Linked DNA regions of Saccharomyces cerevisiae S288C. The gene in region 1 interacts genetically with each later gene. Each region holds a gene or a part of one and is shown on either strand. Other genes may lie near its edges. The genes, in order: SPL2 and PHO90.

Region 1 (10,666 bases):
AGTTGGCGGCGGTCGTGGCGGTCATCGAAGATCTTGCGGGCGAGTCGACAGCCTGGTGGTGGAGTTGTTTGTTTGCTTGTACGTTAAAATTTGCGTTTCCGTTTATATTGGTGAGGTTGTTAACTGCTAGAGTGGTACTTGCTATGGGCATGGACATGGGGAAGAGGAGAGCAGGAAAAGGGCCAGCGAATGCGCGAAATTTTTGTATGTGTCTTTTCTCTACTATGGCATCCACATGAAAACCAGTCACAGAGCACTCAATGAACGGTTTGCGTTTGTTGTTTGTAAGAAGCAAGCAGAAATCAAAGACCCATGTATACGATCGCTGATTTGTTTTGTTCTGTTTTTTCTTGTTCCGGCGAAAAAATCGTAAGAAACGAAAGGAGAACGAGCCCACAGGCGGGGTAACATCAAAAGGATTTATATTAGATCGTAAAGTCAATGCATATGTAACAGTACAGAGGTAGAAGGTATGTATGTGTAACGATTAAGAGATGCAATCATGATTGTTCTTCGTCAGACGAATCTTCGAATATGTCTTCGTCAATGACACAGTCGTTCTCCCAAAAGTCATGGGCGAGCTTGCTTAAAACGGCGGCAGCGTTTTGACGCTGCGCTCTACTTGAATCTTTCTCATTAATGTACTCGTTATACTCTTTAAAAGTTGATCCACTGAGAGATTGTGACTGCGATGTTCTACGTGGAGTATAGTAACTAGCAGGATTGAGCCTCCTGCACTCTTTGAGCCTCAATAGAGAAGCGATCTCCTCGGAGAGTTTTCTTCCCTTATGCTGGTGACCATCTTTAAGTTGTTTGTGTTGTCCTTGTGAAACTGCTGTTTCCATTTTGCCGCGTGGAGACATCTGTCCAATTTGCCCCTGGCTCTCTGTAAATACCCATATATGAACGTTATATATATTGTATATTAATGGCGTATATGTGCCCATGGGAAGTCATAGTAATAGATCTAGGCACGTGGCTGCAGTGACTCCGCGCAGGGCTGTACCGCCAAGGTAGATAAGAGAGCGGAGCACGTGGGAAAAGAGAGATACGGTATGTTACAACAGTCAAAGTAATGAACTTTCGCCCACGTGCGTACATCATTTACTATCTCAGGCCGCTGCGTTTGGAACTTTACGGCGTTGTAGTTGTAATTGCCATAACTGCCATGCATTTATGTATATATATTTTCGTACGTAATGAACATGGTTATGTTATATATTGTTTGCAATCAGAGAGAAGTTGAAGAGGAGAAAAAAAAAAAGAGAGAGCCGTACCGCAATAAAATGGACCCTTGTCGGTCACGTGAGCAAAAATACTATTGCCGCCGACGGCCGTAGATAATAACAAAGGAATAAAAAAAAAAAAGCGGTAACTCGCGGAAGCATTGCCGATGCTTACCGAGATTTGCCGCGGATAACCGAACCATCATTGGGGTAGGAAACATTATAAATATTTGATATATATAAAGGAAAAAGCTTGATTTGGTCTTGTAATATCCCAGTGTAAACATAAAAATACACACATACCACAATTACACTCTCTCATCGACTCAATGACTGCTGGTTCTGCCCCCCCTGTTGATTACACTTCCTTAAAGAAGAACTTCCAACCGTTTCTCTCCAGAAGAGTAGAAAATAGATCTCTGAAAAGCTTTTGGGATGCTTCTGATATCTCAGATGACGTCATTGAGCTAGCTGGTGGAATGCCAAACGAGAGATTTTTTCCTATCGAATCTATGGATTTGAAAATATCAAAAGTTCCTTTTAATGATAACCCAAAATGGCATAATTCGTTTACCACGGCGCATTTGGACTTGGGATCCCCCAGTGAGCTACCCATTGCACGTTCTTTCCAATATGCAGAAACCAAGGGTTTACCCCCTCTCTTACATTTTGTTAAAGATTTTGTGTCCAGAATTAATCGCCCAGCCTTTTCCGATGAGACGGAGTCTAACTGGGATGTCATCCTTTCTGGCGGGTCCAACGATTCAATGTTTAAGGTTTTTGAAACAATTTGCGACGAATCGACCACTGTGATGATTGAAGAGTTTACTTTCACCCCGGCTATGTCCAATGTGGAGGCTACAGGAGCAAAAGTCATCCCCATCAAGATGAACCTGACCTTCGACAGAGAGTCCCAGGGTATTGATGTCGAATATCTAACGCAGTTGCTCGATAATTGGTCAACTGGACCATACAAAGACTTAAACAAGCCAAGGGTCCTATATACCATTGCAACGGGCCAAAATCCTACCGGGATGTCTGTCCCCCAGTGGAAAAGAGAGAAAATTTACCAGTTGGCCCAAAGACACGATTTCCTCATTGTTGAAGATGATCCCTACGGTTATCTGTACTTTCCTTCCTATAATCCGCAAGAGCCATTAGAAAACCCTTACCATTCTAGCGACCTGACTACTGAACGGTATTTGAATGATTTTTTAATGAAATCATTCTTGACTTTGGATACAGATGCCCGTGTCATCCGTTTGGAGACTTTTTCTAAAATTTTTGCTCCTGGATTAAGGTTATCCTTCATCGTTGCTAATAAATTCCTTTTGCAAAAAATCTTGGATTTGGCCGACATTACTACAAGGGCCCCCAGTGGTACCTCACAAGCTATTGTTTATTCTACAATAAAGGCAATGGCTGAGTCCAACTTATCGTCCTCTCTTTCTATGAAAGAAGCAATGTTTGAGGGTTGGATAAGATGGATAATGCAGATTGCTTCTAAATACAATCATAGGAAAAATCTTACTTTGAAAGCCTTATACGAAACAGAATCTTACCAAGCTGGTCAGTTTACCGTTATGGAACCCTCCGCGGGTATGTTCATCATTATTAAAATCAATTGGGGGAATTTCGATAGACCTGACGATTTGCCGCAACAGATGGATATTTTAGATAAGTTCTTGCTGAAGAATGGTGTTAAAGTAGTGCTTGGTTATAAAATGGCTGTTTGCCCAAATTATTCAAAGCAGAATTCAGATTTTCTAAGACTCACCATCGCCTATGCAAGGGATGATGATCAGTTGATTGAAGCTTCCAAAAGAATCGGTAGTGGCATAAAAGAATTTTTTGACAACTATAAAAGTTGAACAGTGAAGATTAAACCTATGTGTTATTTGCATATCATATATAAATTGTAGTTTTTTGTATAAAAGTTGGGAAAAAGTTATAGTCGCGTATATTTTAAATTACTCTAAGCAACTAAATGGTCACGGTTTAGAGCATGAACTTCTGAATCCTTTTCCAAATTGCATTTAGCACCGTACTCGCTTTCAATATAGCTCAAACGTTCTTTCAGACCGTCCAAAATTTGGTCGCTATCAGGTAAGTCCACTGTAAAGCCCTTTATCAAGCTATATTCGTGTGTTATTTTACCCCCTATGTCCACCACATATTTTTTGACATCTTCAATAATGCTATTCTGGTCCGTAGCCATATTATCCGTCTTGGGGAAAGTTACGATGTATGATGATAAGGAAGATGCCTGTGCCATGGAGAATATGCTAATGAAAATCAAAACTAAGTAACTGGCCTTCATATATATGCTATAGTCTGTTACACAATAGATTTAAATGTTGTAATATAACGAGGAAACGCAACTTATCCATTTGTTCTCTCCATCGCATCGCTTTTTCTTAAATACTTTTGCCCCCCACCCCTTTATCCACTTGCGTTTTCCTCTTTTCTTCGCCTCTTTTTGGTAGCGCCGACCGATCTAATCGGAATAATCAAATTTAATAGGAACTGAATATTAGAAATTATTGAAGTCAATATACTGTAAAAACTATAAATCCTGTAACGAACATAAAAAAAGAAAACATAAAGGAAGCGCGTGATGTATCAGTAACATCACATAGTACAATAAAAAAGAAAGAGAACACTGATAATAACTGTACTGAAGACAAACAATTAGGAAAGTAACGACGATCTTTCTTTCGTCCAGTCATCATAACAATATGTGTTTTTGTTTTTGTTTTTGTTTTTGTTTTTGTTTTTGTTTTTGTTTTTATTTTATTTATTTTTTGCTTATTTTCGTAGTACACAACACATAATCATCTTATTGTTGACTAACAGGGAAGATTTGTTGTAACTCGCTACTACTTGTGACTTGATTATGGATAGCAATAGACAACAAAGTTTGCGCTTGGATTGGTGACAAGTACCCAGCAGAAATTGCACCTTGTGGAATACTTGTGTTACTTATGAACCCAATTCCTGAACCATCATGACCACTGGATCCATCACTTGCATAAACGACAGGGAAGTCGACCGATGTCCATGATGCCACGGTACTGTTGTGACTTGTACCAGAGCTGACAACAACCAAACCTTGGATACTAGAACTTAGTGATTGAATTAAGCTTTGAGAATATCCTTCTTCGTATATAATTGGAACCAATGGACTGGAGGATGATGAGGATGTATTGGTCCCGGAGGAGGCATTAGAAGATATTTGTGCGCTCGTAAAATTCGAGTATTGAGTTCTGATTGTGGAGTTGCTGGCAATCAGAGTTGGCTCACAGGCATCAAAGAACCATTGAACATTCTTCTGACCAGACAAAACGCCCACAGGAACAGTGTAAGGAGGGAAAACACCAGAATACACAACTTTATCTCTACCGGCAACCAAAGTGCCTCTACCTTCCGCGTCCGAACTACTCAATATTGGTACACCCCATAAGAAATTCTCAGTAATGACAATGGTCTTTGATGTATTAAAAACGATTGAGCAGAAGAAACTCAAAGTTTCAATGGAACGCCAGTTTGTGACGATTATAATGCCGGAAGACGATTCGCTTTGTAAAGTCTGATTAACTTGAGTAGCAATTTGGTAAAGTTGAGTGATGTTTAAGGTGGAAGTAGAGTTGAATAGCGTTGTGGTAGTAACGTTTGACTGGCTACCAGATACAGCAGGTCCACCCGTGATGATCACGGGGACCGTACCGCCGCCAGAAGTAACGTTCTGCCTCTTGTAAAGTGGTGTTGCAGAAGCTGTTAAAGTTGCAAGAAAAAATGCTAGCACTGATGTGAATTTCATAATAGCTGATTGGGTTCTTAGATGTGAAAACTGATCGAAATCAAATACTAGAGCATGATTGATAGGAACAAGAGAAACCAAAAGTGTTTTTAGCTTTCCTCCCAATTTTTATAGTATTCTAATGAGTAACGTCTTAGGGGAATTTTCAACAAGGCATTTCTAAAAGGGGATGCTAGTTGCACATTCTGAGAGAATCATTTGTACACGTTTTTCCCTATTTTCTGCTCATAAACCGAGGATCATCAGCGTTAAATGTAATTGCTAAGCCAAGAACTTTTGCTACTCTAACATTACATATTTGAAGGGTACAGTGAGATTCCCCAACAGGAATTCGCTTCTGTACATCAGCCGGTATTCGCTGAGAACTACTGTAGCCCTTAACTGTTGAATGATCTTTTTCTGGTAGATCATCGGCTTCTTTTGACGCAGGAAAAGGCCCGTGTCACTTCGGCTTAGCTTCTTTCGGCGATTTTCAAGGGAAGCGTCTGCACCTTAACGCAGACAAATGACGCATGATATGCACCCTTAAGGCGGACTTGATCTTCAGATCCCTCAAATGGTAAATGTGCCATAAGGTGGCCAAATTCCAACTAAAAATGATAAATAGGTAATGAATTGTTCACTATGCAGCGTTGCCACCGTTACGCCTCCCCCTTATTTTTCATTTCCGTTTCCATCCAGTTTTTCAGCCTCCTTGAACCCTACCATTAGTAATGGAAGCAATAATCTCATAGCAGCAATTGAAAAAAAAAAAGCATATTCGCTCACATTAAAATAATGAGATAACATGAGATGGCTTGGAATTATAAGCGTTCGCTGACCTGAAAAAGGCGCGGGGCTAATGGACCCATTCGTTAAAATGACCTTAAGCATCCACACATGCAGAATAAAAGAACTTAACCTATTCCTTAGGAAAGTTTATGTATTTGCTGGTACCCTCTTCCTTCTTTGGCCTCTTTTCTGACGTGAATGTCACATGTTAACATTTTTGTCAAATAGCGTCCATCTATTTGAACAAATGCTATCATTTTTGGGGATACAAATTCTATAAGAGGTTCCTGTTTGCAGCATCTAAAAACAGAGCGTGAAACGCATGCAGAAGTGACATATAATCCTTTGTTTAAGCGACAATTAAAAATAATGATCGCTCTCTTTTCCTTTTCAGACTTGCTCATTAAATTTGACAAGATCCGCGGATTAGAGAAGTCTGCGCTTCGCATTTAATGAAAAGATCTCCGATAAGTATATAAGTCCCTTTTTTCTCGAATTATATAAGTCACTTTCTATATGTCAGTGATTATCTCTACACTAGTCTTGCTGTATTCTTAGCAAATTTTTCTCGTATTTTAAAACCATAATACAAGGAGAATCCATGATGTCTTGTCTGGTACCAACACGTTTTACTTTGACCCTTAACACCGCGTGTCTTTTGACGAGCACCTGGGGGTTTGTTAGGGCCACATCTGTAGTCTTACCTCCAAGTTTAAGTAAAGCAGGCCATAAACAGTTTCTAACCATTATATCTATTATTGCAACAATCATTAATAACGCGGTTAACATTTCTAATTATTATATCCAAAGAAACAATAAGATGAATCTAGAAACCAAGAAAAAATCAGACTTTATTAGTAGACATGTCACTTTGCCAGTTTCTTTAGTATTAGAATCTATTGTTGCTACCGTTTATTGGCCGCTTAGATTGTTTTTTGTCAACTTAATAATGCATGGAGTTGAATCTACTGCAAAGACACCTTTTCCTATGACAGTGGATATGGCAATCCACTTATATCCTATTTTATATTTACTAGCCGATCACTACTTATCGGGATCTGGCACGAAATTCAAATTATCGAATAAGCATGCATGGCTCATTGTAACCAGTTTAGCATTTTCATATTTTCAATATTTAGCATTCCTGATAGATGCGGGGCAAGGCCAAGCCTATCCATACCCGTTTCTAGACGTGAACGAGCCGTACAAGTCGATTATATTTGTTGTTGTTGCTACTATTACGTGGGCTTATTATGTATTTTATCAAAAGTTTCCGCCAAAATACATCAAGAAGTCGGCAAAGAAAGGTGATAAGAATTAGCATTACTACTAGTATACTACTATTTAAGCTCTTTGTATGTAAAGTGAGCAAATCTCAAATTTTGCTACTTAATTCTTATTTTCGTGCTAGCCCTACAACGGAACCCAAAAAATCAATCACCAGGGTAAGCGGGAAAAAAAAAAAGTGTAGGAACCGCACTATAAAAAGTCGAAGGTTTGTATTAATTTTCCACACCTCTTTAGTTTTGTTATAATCAAATTCCTTTTGGTTTTTGTTTTAAAAAGGCCAACATCATAATTATATCGCGAATGTACTACTAGTATATGCAGTTTTCTTAAAATTGCAGGGAATGACTAAAAGCCCACGTTTTTCCCACTTTTAGTAGTACTGAAGCGTAGATAGATTGAACGTTGCTGGGCGCCTGGTGTTGATCATTTCTGAAATGAGATATTGGGAATCAGCTGTATCTACATTTTATTTATACATATTTATTTTTACTGGTTCTTAGTAACGTACTTTAGTAGCAATGCTGTGTTTTAGTGCGAACGCCTACGTGTCTTGTTAACTTATCATGGTTGCCAACGCGAACGTTTACAACAGGTTCAAAGGCAGGATGAAAAATTACGCCAAATAGGCAGGTTTTCAATATTAAAGAGTTAAGTATGCAAAATTTACAAAAAGTTAATGGTCAAAGTATAACTATAAAAATATAATAAAACAATAAACAATAACAACTCTCAGAATTGCAAAGCTTGACCCTTTTGCTTCTTTTCACCACCCAATTCGAAGTGCTTACATCTCTTCAAGGTTAATTGGGCTCTAGTCTTACATTTGACACATTCCAATCTCAAAACAACCTTCTTGGTAGTCTTAGCTTTCTTGTGGAAAACAGGCTTGGTTTGACCACCGAAACCAGATTGTTTACGGTCATAACGTCTCTTACCTTGAGCGAACAAGGAAGCCTTACCAGCTTTGTATTGAGTAACCTTGTGTTGAGTGTGCTTACGACAGGTCTTACCCTTACAGTAGGTCTTTCTGGTCTTTGGGACGTTAACTGGTTCAAAATGATATCACAGCAAATTTAGCATGATAGTTGATTGTTAGTAATTGATCTTAAAAAAAAAGTAATTTGACTGCACATGTAATTAGTTGTATCTTTTTTCTGTAATGGGGAAACGGCTAAATTCACAAATATCTAATGAGTATTACTAATGATATCCTCAATATATTTTCTAACCAGAGTTCTTATTAAAAGGGCCAATAAAAGTATCATTCAGGTGTTCAGTACTTTAGGAAATGATGAAAATATTTAACTAGCTCAAAAGTAAATGAAGTTTAATAACTATTAGTTTCTTGCTTGACATGGATTTGCCCTACGATTCAGGATATTTTAAAAAGTTCTTTAGCATTCTAGTAGTACCTGTGTACTAATTACACTCTCACGCCCTAATGGAGATAAATAACATGGTTTGTCTATTCCTAATCGTCCACATACCCATTATTACTGATTGTTTTTTTGCTTAATCTCCTTCAATTTACGTTAAAACAGTGAAAATACCACATCAATTAAGATATACATTGTCAACAATATGGATGTATCTCTGAGTTCATTTCGACGAATAATTTTACCTCTCTTGGTGGAAAGCCTTCCCTCCCCCTGGCGGAACCCATCATCCCGTCGAACAACTAAACCGTCAGCGTTGCCGCACCGACGGACGTCTCTCTAGAGGTCGTCTCTCCGTCTGAACATACGCACTGTTGGTACGATGCAGCGGCAGTCTGGCCGCATTTTTGACAGCGATCTTTTTTTGTATCAAGACTTCTTCCAATGTCAGGATTTATTTTCATGATGTATGGGTGTATCGGATGTTCGGATGTCACTGTCTTTTATTTTGAAGTTTGTGACAGAGAATGCTATGGAAAATAATATGTAGCAACATAGCCAACTAATTGCCATTGCATTAAATTTTGGCAGTACTATTTAAAATGCCATGTTTTATGTTGTTACAGTAAGTTATTGACATTCTTCTGGTGTTGCCCGCTTCGCTTTCTTAAAACGGTTAAATATTGAAAAAGTTTCACAAGACACGAAATCAAAAAGGATCCATTTTGGTATAAAAATAGCATATTGCATAACTTAACTAAAAAGATTAAAAAAAGTCAAAGCTACACTGGCATACTTTGAACTGTTTTTTCAAAGCTGTCTCCACGTGGAAAGTTTATTTCATCAAAACTATTATCAAAAATTGTGGTTTTGTTAATACAAAAGCTGATATATATATAATATGGCATTTAGTGATTTTGCTGCCATATGCTCAAAGACCCCGTTGCCATTATGTTCGGTAATAAAGTCTAAAACCCATCTAATACTTTCGAACTCAACAATTATACATGATTTTGATCCTTTAAATTTGAATGTCGGTGTACTGCCACGCTGTTATGCTCGGTCGATTGATCTTGCCAATACAGTCATCTTTGATGTCGGGAACGCATTCATAAATATTGGTGCTCTAGGTGTCATTTTAATCATACTTTATAACATAAGACAGAAGTATACTGCTATTGGCAGGTCTGAATATCTCTACTTTTTCCAACTAACATTGCTATTGATAATATTTACCTTGGTGGTAGACTGTGGTGTATCTCCCCCCGGCTCTGGGTCATATCCATACTTCGTGGCTATACAAATAGGACTGGCGGGTGCATGTTGCTGGGCCTTATTGATAATCGGGTTTTTAGGTTTCAATTTATGGGAAGATGGGACTACAAAGTCCATGCTGTTGGTCCGTGGAACGTCCATGCTAGGATTCATAGCCAATTTTTTAGCCTCTATTTTAACCTTCAAAGCATGGATCACCGACCATAAAGTAGCAACAATGAACGCTTCAGGGATGATTGTCGTCGTTTACATAATAAACGCCATTTTCTTATTCGTTTTCGTTATTTGTCAATTACTGGTATCCCTATTGGTAGTTCGAAACTTATGGGTCACAGGAGCTATCTTTTTGGGGCTATTTTTCTTTGTAGCAGGCCAGGTATTGGTTTATGCCTTCTCTACACAAATTTGTGAAGGGTTCAAGCACTACTTAGATGGCCTCTTTTTTGGAAGCATCTGTAATGTGTTCACATTAATGATGGTTTACAAGACTTGGGATATGACTACCGACGACGACTTGGAATTTGGTGTAAGTGTTAGCAAGGACGGTGACGTGGTGTATGATAATGGATTTATGTGAAATGCTTCTTTTTTCTATTACCATATATAGAAAATAGGTGTATACTATTAGTTTAATGTAATAAGCAGGACTATGACAAACCAAAGAGTGAAAGTAGCCGTTTCCACGTTTTAACGGCTTGTGTACACTTTGACAGTCAATCAGCGTAGTGACTTCTTTTATCAGCGGAAACAACCATATCCATAAAAGAAACGTGATGGTCGTTCCCGTAGTTTATTAAGTAAGATGACAAATTATCCTTCTTTAGTCAATTGAAAACAAAACTTCTTAATCTGTTTCCAATGTTTTAAAGTCGCTCATATGTTCATGACTACTTTTCCATGAGAGGGTT
Region 2 (12,837 bases), on another chromosome or scaffold:
TTCATAAGCCAGTATTTTCTCTTCTTTTTTATTTTTTTTTTGGAATGTCGCGCCCAGGACAAAAACATATAATTTATTAGCCTAGGCAGTAAATAGTAGGCGAAAAAGATTGAAAAGTATTATACATGTGGAAATTTATTAATTTTATCTATCATATAAACTCATGTCATTATTCTGGCGATTCTAGTGTCACACCATTTTTTAAATTCAAATCAGCGACTTCGTTTTCTGGGCATCCCTCAGATATTTCAGACGTACTCGATGAACCCAAGCCTGAATTATTCTTGTAGACTTTTTTCAACAATCTTAACTTTCTCCTACCTGAATTTGTCCTCTCACCATCATCATTGTCATCTTCGTCGTTGCAGTCCTGAGTTTCAATATGCCCAACCTCCAAACTACGATTACTATATTCAGGGGCCTGCACATCTTCATTACATTCTATCATATCATCAGAAACATCTTCCTCCTCGTCAGTCTTATTAAATTCATACAACTTCATCTGTTCATCGTATATCTTTTTGATACGCTCATCATATCCGTGGCGTGACTTTTGGATTATTTCCTGTAGTTTAGAGCTGCCTAATCCATTGCCATCTTTATGACGGCGAATGTAAAATAGCAAATAAGCCGATCCAGCTATACTATTTTCTGGCGCAGTTTCAGTTACTCGAGAATCATCAAAATAGTACCATTTATTGTCGGCAAAATTCTTTACGTACGCGGTATAGTGCCCACCACCCAAACCACCATAGTGGTTATCTACTGCATACAGGTCATAGATTAAACCTCTGGGATCATCTTTATAGACAACGTACCTCGACAGATCCAAATCTGTAATGGGGAAATTAACCGTGGCATCAATTTTATCGCTAAAAGACCTTTGACTTTCAAACCTTTTAAGGTGAATTAGCAGAATATCTGGTGTATTCCAAAGTTGTATTTGTTTGGTAGCCTGACGATGTTCCTTGCATGTAGGGCAGTACCACGAATCGGTTAATCCTAGTATTTCTGGTTTGGAAAATAATTGGAGACAATCGTCCAAGGTTATGGTTCTTTCCTTAGCGTTAGATCTTTCCAACTTAGCGTTCTCCAACTCTTTGTTAGGCAAAGTAGCTGGATTTTCCCAGTTATATATTTTATCATCGGAAAATGCCTCATTTGAACCCAATTCGCTCCACTCACAAACAATAATATCATTCATAGAAAGAATCGCAAACGGAGTGGAAGTCAAGCTATCCTTAATTTTATCTAACGCCTCTGGCTTATCTGTTAATTCTGGCTCTGTACTTGCATCTTCTTCAACATCATCTGTTAGTTCCATATCTTCATCCCGATCATTAGTATTATTTACATTTTCATTATTTGTTACAGTTTCTTTATTTTCTTCATCATCTCCCGATTGGAAGGGCTTGGAAAAATTCTTTGCTTCACTACCCTCGGTATCTCCCTCATCATCCACTTGCATAAGGACCCCTTCAGCACAATCTACTAAGGATGAATAATTGTAGATATCCTTCACCACATCTTCAAGTTTATCGTCTATATCTGTAGCTTTGTCAAGGTTTAACTGGGAGATAGGGGTCCAGAAATTAGGCCCTGTTCGGTTATTACTAGCAAATTGCTGCTCTTTTTCTACAGACAGAATCTTGATGGAAAAAAAGGATTTATCCTTGTCAGTCACCTTAATAGACGTATACTGTAGTATATCTTTATATTGTTCAAATTCAACATCTGGATATTTTTCTACTAATAATGGAAAAGCATCAGCAAAATCGGTTCGATTTCCTACAGGTTCAGGAAATGGGATATACCCACCACTTAAATGGACAAACCTGTTTTGCAATTTCATTCTTATTGCACCTGGATTATTCAATTCATCTTCTTTTAACGTAATAAAGAAAGGGACTCCAAATAACATTGCATTTTTGTAGCCTTTTTCAATTCTAGTATTCAATACGGGAACAATTACTTCATTGTCATTTGTTACTGGTAATTCATAAAAAATAACGTCATCAGCAGGTTTGATCAATTCCTGCAAGGTTAAAAATTGAGCATTCGACTCTGTTGACTCATAGTTAACATAGATTTGATTACTGAAAATCTCACAGCCAAATAGTGTATTTGGATCTAGGCCCGACATTTTACCAACATAATTCTTCAAGTCCATATAAGTGGACGATTTGCTTAACTCAACTTCAAGAAGAAGTGGTGGAGAGTTCATGGGAAAAATTTTTATAGTTTTATCCCACACTGTATCAACCGGAAGCGGCAATGTAACATCATTATACGGGTCAAACGTTATAGAAACATTTTGACATTCGGGACAATATAGCGTTGATTTGTACATCCCGACAAATAAATCCGTTATAACGGAACAATTTCTCTTTAAATGCATCTCCCAAGTATCGTCTGCCAGTTTCTTGACTACATTCCAATCATTCACGTCATCACCAGGAGATAATGATGGTTTTTCTGTGTATTCTTTCTTTATTATCCTGTTCAAATCTTCATGTAAACTGTCTAACAGGAAGGCTAAAAATTCTTGAGAATCCTGTTGCATATAACCAGAAAACATCGAATTAAAGTGCCCGATAGTGGATTTGAACATTGAAGGGGGGAAAGCAGCATTTCTTTGCATTATGCTCATCCTGTTTTGAAACAACTTCTGAACCAAGTCACTAAATGCCCTAGCCACATAGCCGTGGTACCCAAGAGGATTTTCTTCATTGATTTCGTCTTCATAACCATCATAAAGGAAATAATCACGCAACTGCGGAATGTGTACCAGGCATTGCAACGCAGAATTCATGTAACATGTATTTCCCAAATTGACCAAACCAGTAGTACCTGATGCTGGTTCGAGTTTATTATAAGCAAAATAGTTTGAAGGCCAATGGTGATTCCCTTCTATAGGTTTAATTTCTATGACAAGGTCACTCGGATTTGAAGTTATCTTGTCTAAACGGTTTTCAAACATGTCTGGTATTAGTAGTTTCTTTATCGGTAGTTCGAGAAATTGAAGCGGAGTTATTTCATATGAAGAATTCAAAAAAGTACTAACATTGCTATCTGTGGCAATATCAGATCCCTCTGACACAAACCAAATTTTAAAATCCACCGCATTCACGTCTAGATGATCAGCTTTCTCAAAAAACAGATTCATACTCTTTTCAACCAAATCACGTACTAAATTCAACGCAGACATCGAGAGGTACATTATTGAATCGTCCTGGCCATGCCTCCTTTTCCTCCCGTCTTGTTTTTCGGTCAGGTAATGTAGTCTGAAAAACCATTTATTGTATTCTGTCTCTAACTCCCCTGTGGTTTGGTTGATAACCAAATTAGTTACCACTGGGTAAGAGCCACTTGTCATGCCGTAAATTTCTGATAGAAAATTGAAAACAGGCTCTGCAATAGACAGATACGGACATCTATTGTAATCCTCAAGCACAAAATTTTCAAAGTCTCTGCAAATCATGCGTGTATTAATAGGGCCTATATCTTCAGGATCGGTAACATCGGGGTCGAAAAATTTATCGTACCAAACCTTGGGGACAATACAGACTTTATCACCCTCTTTTTGCGTTTCCTTGTTTTCTTCTATTAGTCTAGCAACCACGTCTCTTTGTTGTTCTAAGACATTTCTTCCATCTTGACCATTAGTTCCAAGATTAGTTTCACTTGCAGCGTGTGGCTCAGCTATTAACTCATTAGCGCTAGCAAATGAAGAAACAGCGGAAGCATCGGATTCCGTATCCTCAATTTCACGATCTGAGACTGGGACAGACTCTTGCTTTATTTCATCCTTGTCATCTAGAACATTCATCAAGTCCACTCCCAACCGATCACATGGTGTTGTGCCATCGGTGAAATCGGGATCTTCATTATAAACCAATGAACATTCACGACTTGAAACATCTGAAGAACCCATTTTCGAATGAAGAAACCTTCGATTGAAACAACAACGTTCTGCAGGATTTTCCTCCCTTTATTTTTCCAGTAATCCCATCTTTTATCTTCATGCACTTCTTCAATACGTAATAATATTTTTCCACGAACCGACCAAATTTCAAGGAAAGTGGAAAAATTTTTAATCTTTTAGCTTATAAGAATAACGAAATATACCTGATTATAACAGGGAAGCGTACCTTTTTTTCGAACATTAGACTACACAACAGAAGTGTTGGATTAATCGAATACATATAGATTATATATACGCTGTTACATGCTATCGTAGACGTATCTCTTACGCAGAGGTTGCGTTACCCTTGACAACAGATGCCATGATACCATAACCTAGAGTAATGACACATAGGAAAGCCAAAATAGAAGCTGGAACACCTCTCGTTAAGAAAGTCATGACACTTAAATAGCGATCGCCCTTTCTATCTACTTTAGAGATGGCAGTGACATTGGGGAACCCCGAAGAAGCTAGTCCCATACCACAGGATGACAATAATGCACAACCGAAAACAAGGATAGGAGCAGCTTTGGGGTTGCCAAGCTTGTCACCAACTTCTTGCACCAAGGGAATGATGATAATAGCGGATACTGTATGCGAGACGAAAGTACCCACAACCAACATCAGGATACCGAAAATACATAGAATGGCAAAAACACCATCATTCTCAATTTTCTTTTGTAATGCTTTTGCAATGGTTGATAGCAAACCCGAGGATGAGACGGCCTTCCCCAAAGCAATACCTCCCATTGCCAAAATAACGATTGACCACGGAAAGGCATTTAAATCTTGTGTTGATAGTAATCCGGTACCAAAAAACAAAACGATGGGAATGATTGCAATTTGACCTGATGACCCAAAAGCACCTTCAATCTGGCTTTCCACACACCACAACAAAATAGTGGCCACAGTGACAGTAATGATATAATACTGCTTAACTGTGAATTTCGTCTTAATAGGCTTAAATTTTTCCAATTTGGTCTTATTCATCTTGAAAGTAGTGAACAATAAAATCCAAACCAAAAGCATGGCCAGGATACCAGATGGCAATGCAACAGCAAAGAATTGGCCCCAGCCAATACCATAGGGTTTCAAGTACGACATGGAAATGATGTTTTGAGGTGAAGAGATTGGTGAAGACATACCACCGATATTTGCAGCCAACGCTACACCTAACACCAATGCTTGCGCAAATGGGCTATCTGCATCCATGGCATCCAATAGGGGAGATAACAACGAATATGTTAGAACAGGTGCTGCGACATTGGAAATCCACATTGATAGGAAGAACACGACACACATTGCCATTAAAAGAACGTTTCTGGGTTTACAACCAGCGAAGGCCAACAACCACGAGGCAAGAACTTTGGCGATGTTATATTGTGCAAGTACTTCACCCAAAGTAAAACCTGCCAGCAGAATCATAATTGTAGAAGACCACATGGCGGCCAAAATTTCTGATGAAGCGCTTGCAGCACTCATTATAGCCCCGTCGGAGGTTTTTAGGACTTTGAAAAGGACTACAAGTAGTGGTACAAGGAATGCTGTAATGTGTAATGGGATGGCCTCACTAGCCCACAAAAAGGCGACACACTCGACAAGGGCCATGCAGCGGTGCTGAGCAGCGTCGTTGAAGGTCTTTATTCCTAACAAGAGTCCAGTGACTAGAATAATAAAGTAAATCTTGTATGCTTTCTTGGTGAAAAATAATTTCGGTAGTGCAACGTTGTTTATACTAGTGAATTTTAAGTTTATCGGTCTGGGTAGTGGCCATCTGTAGTATTCCAAATCTAACTTGCCTACCAGCTTATTTGCATTATATTCTGTTTCCTTTGGTGTCAACTCGTCAGCTTGCGATAGCAGTCCCAACATGTCTTTCCAAGTGTTACTTCTTTCCCAAACAATGTGGTCATGCAGGTAGGATTTCAACTCTTGCTTGCTATGCGAGATATTATGAGGCCGGTCAGTGATGCGCGCATAAAATGTGACTAGCTGGGAAATTTTGGAATTTAGCAATTCGATCGTTTCTGCCTGGAATGCATATGTGTCTTTGAAAAACTGCTCCGATTCGATCAGTTCGGTTCTTGTATTCAAGTGAAGAACTTTGTCTGATTTCTTTGTAATTTTTGCAAACCCAATGCGGTTCAATTCGATGAACGACTTCAACTGGCAAAGATCGATATATAGGTTTACGATCGACTTCTTCAACAGCGATTTTTTCTGAGACTTAATGTTATACTGCGAATGATGCAGCAAAGCAGTATTATCTTCAATATTAGATTGATCATCGTAAAATTCGTCGTCGTCTTCGTCATCATCCAAGTCTAGTGGGGGAACTTCGTCATTTGTGCTGGCAATCGGTTCGTTAAACAGAGTATCATCGTCGATATCGTATTCTATAACTCCGATTTTCTTCAGGTCCTTCACCAGCGCGTCAAATTTGTCGTAGAACTTCGCTTCTGTCCTCTTATAAAAATCATCTACTTTCTGTTTTTCAGCTGTTAAATCACCAACAAACGTATCATAAGTGTCTAATTGCAGATTTTCGTTGGCCGTGGAGGAGACGGACGATGCGGAAGACGACCTTCTTTTGTAAAATATCTTTTCCTTCATTCTTCTGAAAGGAGAAGGTTTGGCAGCGACCGTCTGAGCAGTAGGCAACTCTCGCAACTCGATGGTTTCCTCAACGATGCCTGCATCTTTGTTCATACCGGAAGACGTATCTTCCTTCGCATTTTTAAAAGAAAACTTGTTTTTGAACCTATCTGTAATGTTAGAGCTCTTTCCTGCGCCAAATCCTTCTTCGTTATCACCAACCTGAAGTTCATCTGTTTGTAGCGTGTAAATAAGATTTTTCAGCTCGCTGTAGTCCATATAATGGTTTTGCCATTCTGGGACAGCATTGTACTTCAAGAAGTGTGAAAATCTCATGATCCTGTACCAGCTACCACTTACTCGTTTATCCTAAAAACAACTTTATTGGCCGGATGACATCGAAGTGAACAGTGTTCTTTATATCGATGAATCAAAATTTTTCAGTGAGCCATTCATTCTTCGAGAAGCAGCGCAAAAAAAAACAAAAAAAAAAAAAACGGCTGTAGCTGCGGCGATATTGTGAGCGCCCCGCTTTAGGGCGACTTTACCCATAGTAAAAAGGGAAGACAATAACGAAATAAGAAGAGAAGAGAACCGTGGTTTCTCTGTTGCTTAGGATCATATACGCCTACAGCAAGGCACCTCTTTATGCGTATGCAGTCATACAAGGAGTGTGGAAATGCAGCACAGATGGCCTTCGCTGCTTGCCAGGCTGCCATTTTTCTTGGCTGCTGCCGCTACTACTGATTTTCTTACCTCTGCTAGAAACCAGTGGAAATGATTTATTCACAATCTAGCACCATGCAACATACATCCAAATCAGTGGAAATACGACATTATTAGCCGGCCCTTTACGTGCCAAAGGTAATAACAGTGAACGGGAGATGGGAAGCTTAATGCTGTTACCCGCTATCGGTTGTTGCTATGTAAACCAAATATAAATGCAAGCCAAAAAAAAAGGGTAACATAAGGTTAAGTAGGAGAAGGGAGATATTGAATGTATAAGGTGTCAGCATGTGGGGTGAGGATAATGAGTGGCATATCAGAAATTTGGATTGGCGAACTTAGAGATTACAAGTACGCTTTACGTCTTGATAGAGAAGAGTATCCAGCGGTGCTTGTTTACGAGTATGACTCGTCTTCTACTAGGAACTATCTTTTTACCATAAAGTACAGCGATCAGAGGCCGAACTGGCAGCTCATTACTCGTGACGCAGCTTTAACAGCTTACGACTTACTTAACAGAGGTGGCGAGTTCACAACTCTCAGCTTTCCGGGAGCCACTATTCACCGTTCAGTCAGTGAGCTGTCCCGATTGCATTAACAATATATAAGGGAGCAGAGCGAAACAATATGAGGTTCAGTAACATTTAAGGGTCGCTATTGAGTGTTTTGTGAGATATAAGTGAGTTTTGAGATAATTGTTGGGATTCCGTTGTTGATAGAGGCTACAATATTATGTATACAGAATATACTAGAAGTTCCCCTCGAGGATATAAGAATTCTCAAATGGAATCTATACATACTAATAATACGACTATTCCTCATTCCGTTTTCATATGTTTCGTTCCTATTACACTATCAATCCTTGCATTTTCAGCTTCCATTACATTTGATGACTGATTCTCAATCTTTATGTTATCTTTTTACACCACATGTGATAGTATACTACTAAACAGTATGCGGTAGCTATACTCTTTAATGAATGGGCGAAGCCTCCCTAGTATTTTATCTTGACATATCTAAAGGATTGCACAATATTGCGATTTGTTCTCCACAATGAAACCTTCTCAATAATTGTCCGATCATCCACCCATTTCTTAAGATGATAGACGATTCTTAGTCCAATAACATTGTATCCTTTACGTTCCGTAGAATATCATGTTGTTGATCCTCTTCTCAGCACAGTGCTTATTACTCTCACATCAACATCAAAAAAATTGCTTCATGATTAAAATGTTTGTGGAATATAACCGTTAAAATAGGTCAGGCAAATATAAAATAGAAGCTTCTATGGCCAAGTTGGTAAGGCGCCACACTAGTAATGTGGAGATCATCGGTTCAAATCCGATTGGAAGCATATATTTGATTTTTTAGCAATTAATTTTTTTTTTTTTTTTTTTTTCACGCTCTTGAGTCATCGCGAGTAAAATTCCACTGGAAAATTTTTTCAATATATACAAAGTTCCACAATATCATACAGCTCTCACATCGTAGATTATGTCAATAGATGGTATGGCATCAAACATGTATATAAACTAAAATATTTTCATCTTTTCGTATTATTCGATTTGCGCACTTGCAAAAATAAGAATTTTCGACTTTCTTTAAACATAAAACTCTAAGAGCAATAAGCAAGAGATTCGATGCTATCTTCAGCTAATAGGTTTTATATAAAGAGGCATTTGGCAACACATGCCAATATGTTCCCCTCTGTATCTAAAAATTTTCAAACAAAAGTGCCACCTTATGCAAAACTTTTGACCAACCTAGACAAGATTAAACAAATAACAAACAATGCTCCATTGACACTAGCAGAAAAAATTTTATACTCGCATCTTTGCGATCCTGAAGAATCGATTACTTCTTCTGATCTGTCCACCATCCGTGGTAATAAATACTTGAAGCTAAACCCAGACCGTGTAGCTATGCAGGACGCTTCTGCCCAAATGGCGCTTCTACAATTCATGACCACCGGTCTAAATCAAACATCTGTCCCAGCATCCATACATTGTGATCATTTAATTGTAGGTAAGGACGGTGAAACTAAAGATTTACCCTCTTCCATAGCTACCAACCAAGAAGTTTTCGATTTCTTGGAGAGTTGCGCAAAGAGATATGGAATTCAATTCTGGGGCCCAGGTTCTGGTATCATTCACCAGATTGTTTTGGAAAATTTCTCAGCTCCAGGTCTAATGATGCTAGGTACTGATTCCCATACACCAAATGCAGGCGGTCTGGGAGCTATTGCCATCGGGGTTGGTGGTGCGGATGCAGTTGATGCCCTCACAGGCACTCCATGGGAATTAAAAGCACCAAAAATTTTAGGTGTTAAATTGACCGGAAAGTTAAACGGATGGTCCACTCCTAAAGATGTAATCACAAAGCTCGCTGGTTTACTAACTGTCAGAGGTGGTACTGGTTATATCGTCGAGTACTTCGGCGAAGGTGTATCCACTCTATCTTGCACAGGTATGGCAACCATCTGTAATATGGGAGCTGAAATCGGTGCTACAACGTCAACTTTCCCTTACCAAGAAGCTCACAAGCGTTATTTGCAAGCAACTAATAGAGCAGAGGTCGCTGAAGCAGCTGATGTTGCTTTAAACAAGTTTAACTTCTTAAGAGCCGACAAAGATGCTCAATACGATAAAGTTATTGAAATTGACTTATCCGCAATTGAACCTCACGTTAATGGTCCATTTACACCAGACCTTTCAACCCCAATATCTCAATATGCCGAAAAAAGTTTGAAGGAAAACTGGCCCCAAAAAGTTAGCGCTGGTTTGATTGGATCATGTACCAATTCATCTTATCAAGACATGAGTCGTGTTGTCGACTTGGTCAAGCAAGCTTCCAAAGCCGGCTTGAAACCACGTATCCCCTTCTTTGTCACCCCTGGTTCAGAACAAATTAGAGCTACCTTGGAAAGAGATGGAATCATCGATATTTTCCAAGAAAATGGTGCCAAAGTTTTAGCAAATGCATGCGGCCCTTGTATCGGACAATGGAATAGGGAAGATGTCTCGAAAACATCAAAAGAAACGAACACTATTTTTACATCATTCAATAGAAATTTCAGAGCTAGAAACGATGGTAATAGGAATACAATGAATTTCTTAACATCCCCAGAAATAGTAACAGCGATGAGTTATTCTGGAGATGCTCAGTTCAATCCGCTAACTGACTCAATTAAATTGCCAAATGGGAAGGATTTCAAATTCCAACCACCAAAGGGTGATGAGTTACCAAAAAGAGGATTTGAACACGGTAGAGACAAATTTTATCCTGAAATGGATCCAAAGCCAGATAGCAATGTAGAGATTAAGGTAGACCCTAATTCTGATCGTTTGCAATTATTAGAGCCATTCAAACCTTGGAACGGGAAGGAATTGAAGACAAACGTGCTTTTGAAAGTTGAAGGTAAATGTACAACAGATCATATTTCCGCTGCGGGCGTCTGGTTGAAATATAAAGGCCATCTAGAAAACATTTCTTACAATACATTGATTGGTGCACAAAACAAAGAAACCGGTGAAGTCAACAAGGCTTATGACCTTGACGGAACTGAATATGATATTCCTGGTTTGATGATGAAATGGAAATCAGACGGTAGACCATGGACCGTGATAGCGGAACATAACTATGGTGAAGGTTCCGCAAGAGAGCATGCTGCTTTGTCACCAAGATTTTTAGGCGGAGAGATTCTTTTAGTTAAGTCTTTTGCAAGAATTCATGAGACAAACTTGAAGAAACAAGGTGTGTTGCCATTGACTTTTGCCAACGAATCTGACTATGATAAAATATCAAGCGGAGATGTTTTAGAAACGTTGAACCTAGTTGACATGATTGCTAAGGATGGTAATAACGGTGGTGAAATTGATGTTAAAATTACTAAACCAAACGGTGAATCGTTCACCATCAAGGCAAAACATACTATGTCTAAAGATCAAATCGATTTTTTCAAAGCTGGTTCAGCAATCAATTATATTGGTAATATACGAAGAAACGAATAAATTCTGAAGAGATATTAGCTAAAAATTAAGAGTCCGATTTAATAGTCATAAGCTAGTTTACACAATTCTATAGACTCTGCATATAGACGGTGCAAATAACCTACCTATTTATTTATTTATTTACTATAAAAAACGTAATATTGTTTGATATATAATATTATACACGAGATCTCGACTGCTTCAACTACGGCTTAACTCAAGGGTGGGGGGTATTTTGTTGTCGTATATGCAATATGTATGTGTTAAAAAGATACAATTATGTAAGTTACCACCTTTGTTTCATTTCATTCATTACTTGTAAACCTTGTAAACGTTCTTCGTACAATGCAGCTAGCCTGCTAACCTTGTTGCTTGCTTTAATATCTGAATATCCCTTTTGAGAGAATTTATCTGCTGTCTTTGAAGTAGTTTCATTTTTCTTCTTCTTTTCTTGTAGTTCTTTGTCGAACTTCTTAATCTTCGCGTTTTGGACGAGGGTTAAACTTTCAAACTGTTGTACGAATATATCTGTTTCCACAGAATTTTTATCCTTTGCTGGCTCGTCCTTAACCATTTCTTTGATATTATCTGATATCGTTAAATCGGTGCTGCTGTTACTCAATGGAAGCGAGTCTGCTGATGGAGTCTTCGTCGGTGAGGATAATGTATCTGTAGAAGAAGAAGCTAATGCCAAATCTGTATTAGAATTGGAAGTTAGAGACAGTTGTGGTCGTGTAACTGCCTTAATAGGAAGTGGAGGTTTGGCATTGAATGATGGGGATGAAACATTTCTGCTTGAAGACTTAGGTTTCAAGACTGGTGTATTTTGTAATGCGACAGGTGTGTACGTTGGAGACGTAACAGATCTTTGTGGACTAGGGCTTCGACTTCTAGGAAGGGTTAAGCAGCCTAGTTCACTGTATCTGGTTGGCGACGACTTCCTTGGCTTAGGCAAAACAGGGATAGTAGAAGACGATGATACGGATGAAGGAGGTGATGATATTTCCTTCGCGATTTCGGGGAAAAAGTCCAGTAAATTTTTAATATATCTCGACCCAATAGCTAAACGATCATTAGTCATCATGGAAAGTTTTTCCTTACATAACGCCGGAGTTAAAGCTTTACTTAGGGTCCTTGAATCATGTTTAGTCGATTCACCATGCGCTATGATCCTATTAAAAAAAGGAATTATGACCATAAAGAGGTCCTGGTATTGGTTGAATTTAATAATTTTGCGGAATGTTTCACTTGTGAACTTTAGATCATCAACAATTGGTAACGGAATTAATTCAATTGGGATTAGAGGTTTGGCTTTATTCTTAATGAAGTAATTCAACCACACGGATGCCAAAGAATAAATATCCCATTGAGATAAATCAATGTAGTTGTTTCTTTTGATAATATCCAAAAAAATGTTTACCTTTTTATAGTTTCCCGGCTTCTGGAATATCAATTCACACAACAGAGCGTCATTCTGTAATTTCTTGAAAATTTTATCGAATACTAACTGCCTATACTGTCTTATTGCCAGAGGGGTCAATCTGTTATAATATTCCTCCGGGA

The links.
Region 2: of SPL2 (region 1) and PHO90, changing one suppresses a phenotype caused by changing the other (phenotypic suppression), as found in Saccharomyces cerevisiae (one study listed by BioGRID).

What each region holds. Positions count from the first base shown.
Region 1 is NC_001140.6:374,154-384,819, forward strand, and holds SPL2 (Spl2p), read right to left. Parts: upstream 948-10,666; coding exon 501-947; downstream 1-500. Other genes in the region: serine/threonine protein kinase YCK1, read right to left, coding at 1-157; ARO9 (aromatic-amino-acid:2-oxoglutarate transaminase), read left to right, coding at 1,556-3,097; YHR138C (uncharacterized protein), read right to left, coding at 3,202-3,546; SPS100 (Sps100p), read right to left, coding at 4,066-5,046; YHR139C-A (uncharacterized protein), read right to left, coding at 5,955-6,266; YHR140W (uncharacterized protein), read left to right, coding at 6,419-7,138; 60S ribosomal protein eL42 RPL42B, read right to left, coding at 7,837-8,153, 8,595-8,598; CHS7 (Chs7p), read left to right, coding at 9,385-10,335. UniProt on the Saccharomyces cerevisiae protein: Putative cyclin-dependent kinase (CDK) inhibitor necessary and sufficient for PHO pathway-dependent down-regulation of low-affinity phosphate transport.
Region 2 is NC_001142.9:54,902-67,738, reverse strand, and holds PHO90 (SPX domain-containing inorganic phosphate transporter), read right to left. Parts: upstream 6,896-12,837; coding exon 4,250-6,895; downstream 1-4,249. Other genes in the region: putative ubiquitin-specific protease UBP12, read right to left, coding at 170-3,934; MBB1 (Mbb1p), read left to right, coding at 7,557-7,883; aconitate hydratase ACO2, read left to right, coding at 8,926-11,295; ECM25 (Ecm25p), read right to left, coding at 11,561-12,837. UniProt on the Saccharomyces cerevisiae protein: Low-affinity phosphate transporter involved in the control of cellular phosphate levels.